Macaca mulatta: one gene and its partner. The protein of the gene in region 1 purifies or fractionates together with the protein of each later gene. This does not show direct contact. Links are inferred from orthologs where the notes say so. Each region holds a gene or a part of one and is shown in the gene's direction. Other genes may lie near its edges.

Region 1 (3,811 bases):
TATTCCCAGCACCTTGGGAGTCCAAGGAGAGTGAATCGCTTGAGCCCAGGAGTTTGAGACCAGCCTAGGCAACATGGTGAAATCTCGTCTCTACAAAAGAAAAAGTACACAAAAAATTAACCCGGTGTGGTGGTGTGCACCTGTAGTCCCAGCTATTTGTGGGTGGGCGAGAGGGGGGGTCTGGGAGGTCGAGGGTGCAGTGAGCTGAGATCACACCACTGTACTCCAGCTTGGGCTACAGAGCAAGACCCTGTCTAAATAAATAAATAAATAGGCTGGGCGCAGTGGCTCACACCTGTAATCCCAGTACTTTGGGAGGCTGAGGCAGGTGGATCACAAGGTCAGGAGATCGAGACTAGCCTGGCCAATGTGGTGAAACCCTGTCTCTACTAAAAAAATGCAAAAATTAGCCAGGTGTAGTGGTGCGTGCCTGTAGTCCCAGCTACTCAGGAGGCTGAGGCAGGAGAATCGCTTGAACCCTGGAGGCGGAGGTTGCAGTGAGCCAAGATCGTGCCATTGCACTCCAGCCTGGTCAACAGAATGAGACTATGTCTCAAAAGTAAAACATAACATAAAATAAAATAAAATAAAATAAATAAATAAATGTGTGGCTTATATTTCTTTTGGCAGTGCTGGTTTAAGGTGTGTGAATGCAGAATTGACAAACTGACCAAGCTAGAGATTTCCCTGTTTGGGTTCCACGCATCCCTGAAAAAGCAGTCCCCCAGTCACCACTGCCAGCTGCTGGGAATCCTGTGACATTTCATTCACCAGCTTTTCTCTCCCCTCCCAGGACACCACATCTCCGAAGACAGTAGAGATTGTATCTCCTGCAAATATGGACAGGACTACAGCACTCACTGGAATGACTTCCTTTTCTGCTTGCGCTGCACCAAGTGTGACTCAGGTACAGAACATAAGGACCCCATGCCTCAAGGTGGAACGCAGGGTGATGACATAAAAGTTGTAGCTAAAATGGGATCAGGAGACCTAGATACTGGTCCACCTTGGTCTTCGTCATACTTTGTTCCGTGATTTTGTCTTCGAGTTTTTTAGTAAATAAAACAGGCCAGGCATAGTGGCTCATGCCTGTAATCTCAACACTTTGGGAGGCATCGCTTGAGCCCAGGAGTTTGAAACCATCCTGGGCAAAATGAGAAACCCCATCTCTACAAAAATATAAACATTAGCCAGGCAGGGTGGTGTGTGCCTGTATTCCCAGCTACTTAGGAAGCTGAGGCAGGAGGCTCTCTTGAGCCCAGGAAGTGGAGGTTGCAGGGAGCCGAGATTGCGTCACTGCATTCCAGCCCAGGCAACAGAGCAAAACCCTGTCTTAATAATAATAATAATAATAATACAGAAATTATTTGTACAATGTATGCTACATGGTAAGGAAATCTTTTAGACTATCAGCTGCAAAGGGGTGGGGCTATGAGCCTGGCCGAGTGCACAGGGCTGGGTCTCAGCGGTGGCACGGGTCTGCTTCTGGACCAGGCTCTCTCCCCCGGGCTCTGTGCTCTTGGCAGGTGCTCGGCCTCACTCATCCTTCCAGTTCTCAGGCCTCTCCCTCCTCCCCAGCAGGCCGGGCCTTGGGGAAATCACCCAAGGGCTCCTCTCCTTGCAGTCTCTCAGGTGATGCCTCACACTTCCCTTGCTACTGACCATGTGATCTAAACAATGCTTGTTCCCTAAACGATGCTTTCCCCTAATCTAATGTAATAAATAATGAATTGTGGTCCTTTTGTATGACTCTTGAGTGTTGGCGACAGCTGAAGGGTGGGCGTCCTGTATGAGCCACCAGTGTGCTGGTGCAGAAACTGGCCCTCAGAACTCCTTGGCGAACTGAATTAAGCTGAGTAGGAGGGTCTTGGGGTGGGGAGGAAGGGTCAAGGGACACATCAGGAAAACATATCCCAAAACCTTGTGCTCTGTCGTCAGGTGAAGTGGAGGTGAATTCCTGCACCACGACCAGAAACACGGTGTGTCAGTGCGAAGAAGGCACCTTCCGGGAAGAAGATTCCCCCGAGATTTGCCGGAAGTGCCGCACAGGGTGAGACAGCAGCCGGGGGCTCCCAGCAGCTCCACAGAACCCCAAGAAGACCCAAGCCTCCTTGTACCCCTGTCTATCCTCTGAGAGCACCCCCATGGGGCATCCTTCAGCCTGTGGCTGCCCCTCCTGATCCCTCTGCCTGTCCCCACCCCTGCCCCCTGTAGCAGCCCCTTCCCACCCCTCCCCAGCACGAGTCCCCTTGGCCAGGCTGACTTGTTCACTGACCACAGAAGGCCATGATGTAGGGCCCATGATACTTTTAGGGGCCCATGAAACGATTTAATTTCTTTTGAAATGAGAAGAATGAGTAGAATGCAGCCAGGGATATATTCATCTTTATACCAATTCAGCAATAAAATGTAATTTTTAATATTTTTTATGCAGGCAGGGGTCCATAAAGACAAAAGTGCCCACAGCCCACAAGAGGCATAATAAGGCCGTGGGTGGAGCTCCTTCAAGTTCCCATGAGGACCTGAGCCCACCCAGCTGGCCTCGCCCCTGGCCCCTGATCCCTCAATAAGACCTGTCTTTTCTCTATTTGGGTTTTAGGGGCCAAGGGTAATTTGCTCTTCTCTGGTCCCCGTAGTATTTGCTGTGATTGGGAGGAATGGGCAGACAGGTGGGGACAAGAGCTCACTTTTGTGGTTGACTGGAAGACCAGACTCAGCTTGTGGCCATAGGGGCTTGTGACCTTCCCCTGGAGTGTGGCTCCTCCTAACGCAGCCTCCCCTGCAGCCCAGGGAAGATCCGTGTGTGCCCAGCACGGAAGGCTCCTGGAGCTGCAGCTCTGACCCCAGAGCAGGGAGGCCGAGGGGCCTGAAGTGCGCATGCTCAGACTCTTCCCCAGCCTCAACAAGGGAGCATAGGGGGACCCCCTGCAGACACGAGGAACCTGCCCTTTCCCTGACACCTTCTCAGGGACACTGGGGAGGGAGGGTGGCTCCTCTTTCATCCCACCTGGCCAGCTTTCCATCAAGAGTCCCCCCTCTCCCTCCCTGTGTGTACCCAGGTGCCCCAGAGGGATGGTCAAGGTCAAGGATTGTACGCCCTGGAGTGACATCGAGTGTGTCCACAAAGAATCAGGTACAAAGCACACTGGGGAAGTCCCAGCTGTGGAGAAGACAGTGACTACCAGCCCTGGGACTCCTGCTTCTCCCTGTTCCCTCTCAGGCATCATCATAGGGGTCATAGTTCTCGTCGTAATCGTGGTTGTGGCTGTGATTGTTTGGAAGACTTCACTGTGGAAGAAAGTCCTTCCTTACCTGAAAGGCGTCTGCTCAGGTAGGTGCTGGCTGAGGGCGGAGGCACTGGGCACTCTCTGCCCTGCCCCCCCCACTCTATTCCCACAGACAGAAACGGCTGCCCCTCCCCCAAGTCTTAGTGTCTCCAGCCTGGCTGTATCCTCCTCCTTGTGGTCACCCCCATCCCCACATCCCAGGCACCCCCCAGAACCCTGGTCTCATCACTCCCTCTTCCGGAGCTGGGGGTCCCCTCATCTCCCAGCCAAGTCCAGGAGGGCAGGGCCAGTTCCTCCCACCTTCAGGCCCAGCCAGGCAGGGGGCAGTCGGCTCCTCAACTGGGTGACAAGGGTGAGGATGAGAAGTGGTCGCGGGATTTATTCAGCCTTGGTCAGAGCAGAACACAGAGATTTTCCATGTGTTGGTTTTACTCTAGTTCCCCTTCTCATCCCCCTTCCTCAGGGTGTCTCTGAGTTGTAAGACCCCATTCCTGTCCCCAGGCCCGGGGCTCCTTGTCCAGTGT
Region 2 (3,811 bases), on another chromosome or scaffold:
CTTCACCTCCAGCTTTAGCTATTTTTCTTCTGTTCTTTTAGGTAAGGATTTTCTGCCCCAGACCTCAGATTCCCATTCCCTTCCTAGCTTGTCTGCTGTTGTAGCCCAGTCCTCTTCCAAGACCATGCAAGATTCAGACCCTAGTAAGAGGAGATGGAGGAACTAGGACTTAAACCCACATCTTGTGATTGCAAGGCTGGTTCCTCTTTTGCCCTGCACCACGCGACTGTCTGCTGACGGTCATGTGACAGGGGCTTCCCCAGCCAGAACCTCCAGGGAGCACAAATAAAGGAAAGAGCTGGAAGGCACAGTATAGCATTTGTTCTGTCCAAGCGTCACATATCAGCATGGGAAGGGAGAACGAGGTGAAGCTTTCTTTCAAGGACTTTGATAAGGAAGGACATTTATCAGTGAAGAGAGGTTTTGAGGGAAGTGAACCAATCTTGAGATAAGTAAACAAAAGAGCTTTGAGTCTGGTGTTTCCCTGTTTGCTTCTGCCCCCTGGGGGAACAAATACTCTATGATTAGAGACGTGTAAGTCCTTTGGAATAGAATAGCAGTGATGGAACTGGAGTCCTAGTCCAGGTTCTCTCCTTGTTCAGCCTGGATTCAGTACTGGGTATTGAAACTCGCCTGCACCCTCAGAGGAGATGACTAGGGGACAGTGCGTCCAGGCCTCTTCTACCACACAGTTTCCTTTTTTTATAAAGCGCATACACATTTAAAATTTAATGATACTCCCAAATTGCTCTTCAAAAACGCTGTACAAAATTACAGTCCTGATAACAGCTGCCCAGAGATCCTGTGAAGGCATTTACCCTCATTATTATTATTATTATTATTATTAGAGACGGAGTCCTGCTCTGTCGCCCAGGGTGGAGTACAGTGGCGCAGTGTTCGCTCACTGCAACCTCTGCCTCCCGGGTTCAAGCGATTCTCCTGTCTCAGCCTCCCAAGTAGCTGGGATTACAGGTGAGCACCCCACGCCTGACTAATTTTTGTATTTTTAGTAGAGACAGGGTTTCACCATGTTGACGAGACTGGTCTCGAGCTCCTGACCTCAGGTGATCTGCCCGCCTTGGCCTCCCAAAGTGCTAGGATTACAGGCGTGAGCCACTGGGCCTGGCTGCCCTCACTGTTTAATGGGTTATTTGCAACCTGTGAATCATGTCTCCTATTTCCTTGTTAATGATGCTGATTGATTATAGACTTAGAAATATCAGCACTTCCTTTGTATCTCTTCATTATTACATGATACAATAATTCATTTTCTTTTTTTTTTTGAGACAGAGTCTCACTCTGTTGCCCAGGCTGGAGTGTAGTGTTGCAATGTTGTCTCACTGCAACCTCCACCTCCCGGGTTCAAGTGATTCTCCTGCCTCAGCCTCCTGAGTAGCTAGGACTACAGGGGCGTGCCACTACACCTGACTAATTTTTGTATTTTTAGTAGAGACGGGGTTTCGCCATTTTGGCCAGGCTGGGCTTGAACTCCTGACCTCAGGTGATCTGCCCGCCTCAGCCTCCCAAAGTGCTGGGATTACAGGTGTGAGCCACTGAGCCCAGCCAATGATTCATTGTTTAATCCTTAGTTGTGGGCCAAGCAAAGGAGAAAAGTAAGAAGCCTTTTCCTTTTACTGATAGGAAAGGTCAAAAGACTTACCTAGTGAATTATTTACCTAAAAATGTATACAAATCACTCCAAAATTTAGTGGCAAAAACAACAGTACTAATTTAATTATATCTTCACCTGTGGGTGAGGAATGTAGGAGCAGCTTAGCTGGGCTGTTCTGGCCCAGAGTCTAGTGAAGTTGTGGTCAGTTGTCAGCTGGGTCATCTGAATGCTTGATTGGGATTGGAGGATCCACTTCTAAGGTGGTCACTCACATGACTGGGAAGTTGGTGCTAGCTGTTGGCGGGAAGCCTGTTCTTCATGTGGGTCTCTCTGAGGGACTGCCTGAGTACTTTCATGATGTGGTGGTGGGCTTCCCCCAGAGTGAGCCACTCAGAAGAGAGAAAGATTGTGAGGTCTGGACTTCAGTAAGAAGGTCGTTGAAGAAAGAAAGGTTTTGTCCTCCCCTTGGTTTGATTGGACTAGAGTGGGCTCAGTCTGTGCCTGTGGCTGGCATCAGGCAGGAACAGTGGTATAGCAGGGTATAGACCATATTTAGGGACCTAAAGTCACGTCTTTCATGATTCAGATGGTTCCTGTTCCAACTGCCCAGGACTTGAGCCTGTCAAAATATGACACAAAAGCAGAAGCTTTTCATAATGGAGATTAGACCATGGCTAGGATTCCTACCCAGTCCTCTTGAGCTCTCCTCACTCCAGTGTTGTTTTACATGTTTGTTTTGTGTTTTCCCCAGAGCTTCTTCAAGACACCTTCACTTCCCTGGGCTATGAAGTCCAGAAATTCTTGCATCTCAGTGTGAATGGTATATCCCAGATTCTTGGCCAATTTGCCTGTATGCCTGAGCACCAAGACTACGATAGCTTTGTATGTGTCCTGGTGAGCCGAGGAGGCTCGCAGAGCTTGTATGGTGTGGATCAGACTCACTCAGGACTCCCCCTGCATCACATCAGGAGGATGTTCATGGGAGATTCATGCCCTTATCTAGCAGGGAAGCCAAAGGTGTTTTTTATTCAGAACTATGTAGTGTCAGAGGGCCAGCTGGAGGACAGCAGCCTCTTGGAGGTGGATGGGCCAGCAATGAAGAATGTGGAATTCAAGGCTCAGCAGCGAGGGCTGAGCACAGTTCACCGAGAAGCTGACTTCTTCTGGAGCCTGTGCACTGCGGATGTGTCCCTGCTGGAGCGGTCCTGCAGCTCACCGTCCCTGTACCTGCAGTGCCTCTCCCAGAAACTGAGACAAGAAAGGTGAGCCCCCAGGAGGTGGTCAGTTCTGGACCACCTGCTTATTTTCGTGCCACAGGATAGGAATTACCACTGTGCCACGTTTGCTGCCCTTCTCTTCTGGGAGGAAAAGAGATTTTCCCTCCTGCTTTGGGGTTGCCGTAGGACTACAGTATAGACCCGGCACGATTTTTTTTTTTTTTTTTTTTTGAGAGGGAGTCTGGCTCTGTCGCCCAGGCTGGAGTGCAGTGGCCGGATCTCAGCTCACTGCAAGCTCCGCCTCCCAGGTTTACGCCATTCTCCTGCCTCAGCCTCCCGAGTAGCTGGGACTGCAGGCGCCTGCCACCTCGCCCAGCTAGTTTTTTTTGTATTTTTTAGTAGAGATGGGGTTTCACCGTGTTAGCCAGGATGGTCTTGATCTCCTGACCTCGTGATCCGCCCGTCTCGGCCTCCCAAAGTGCTGGGATTACAGGCTTGAGCCACCGCGCCCGGCCAGCCCGGCACGATTTATAAATACTTTGTAGTTAGTTAGTTTGTAGTTTGAATACTTTTCTTCAAAATTAAGAAATTTTCAGCCTGGGCAACAAAGTGAGAACTTACTCTATAAAAAAATTAAAAATTAGCTGAGTGCAGTGGTGTGCGCTTGTAGTCCCAACTGCTTGGGAGGCTAAGGTAGGAGGATCGCTTGAGCCCAGGAGTTTGAGGCTGCAGTGAGCCGTGATTGCACTACTGTACTGCAGCCTTGGAGTACAGTATTGGAGACCTTGTCTCCAATAAATACATAAATACATACAAATAACAAATTTTTATTTTTTTTATTTTTTAATTTTTTTTGAGATGGAGTCTTGCTGTTTGCCCAGGCTGGAGTGCAGCGGGACAATCTTGGCTCACTGCAATGTCCGCCTCCCAGGTTCAAGCAGTTCTCCTGCCTCACCCTCCCAAGTAGCTGGGATTACGGGCG

The links.
Region 2: the proteins of TNFRSF10B (region 1) and CFLAR purify together in Homo sapiens (affinity purification with western blotting, with the first as the bait; 5 studies listed by BioGRID). This does not show direct contact. The link is inferred for Macaca mulatta from reciprocal best matches to the Homo sapiens genes TNFRSF10B and CFLAR.

Annotation. Positions count from the first base shown.
Region 1 is NC_133413.1:24,698,989-24,702,799, reverse strand, and holds part of TNFRSF10B (tumor necrosis factor receptor superfamily member 10B), read left to right. Parts: intron 1-793; coding exon 794-907; intron 908-1,938; coding exon 1,939-2,050; intron 2,051-3,059; coding exon 3,060-3,331; coding exon of another isoform or gene 3,332-3,354; intron 3,355-3,811. UniProt on the Homo sapiens protein: Receptor for the cytotoxic ligand TNFSF10/TRAIL. The adapter molecule FADD recruits caspase-8 to the activated receptor.
Region 2 is NC_133417.1:106,259,587-106,263,397, forward strand, and holds part of CFLAR (CASP8 and FADD-like apoptosis regulator), read left to right. Parts: intron 1-2,363; coding exon 2,364-2,874; intron 2,875-3,811. UniProt on the Homo sapiens protein: Apoptosis regulator protein which may function as a crucial link between cell survival and cell death pathways in mammalian cells. Acts as an inhibitor of TNFRSF6 mediated apoptosis.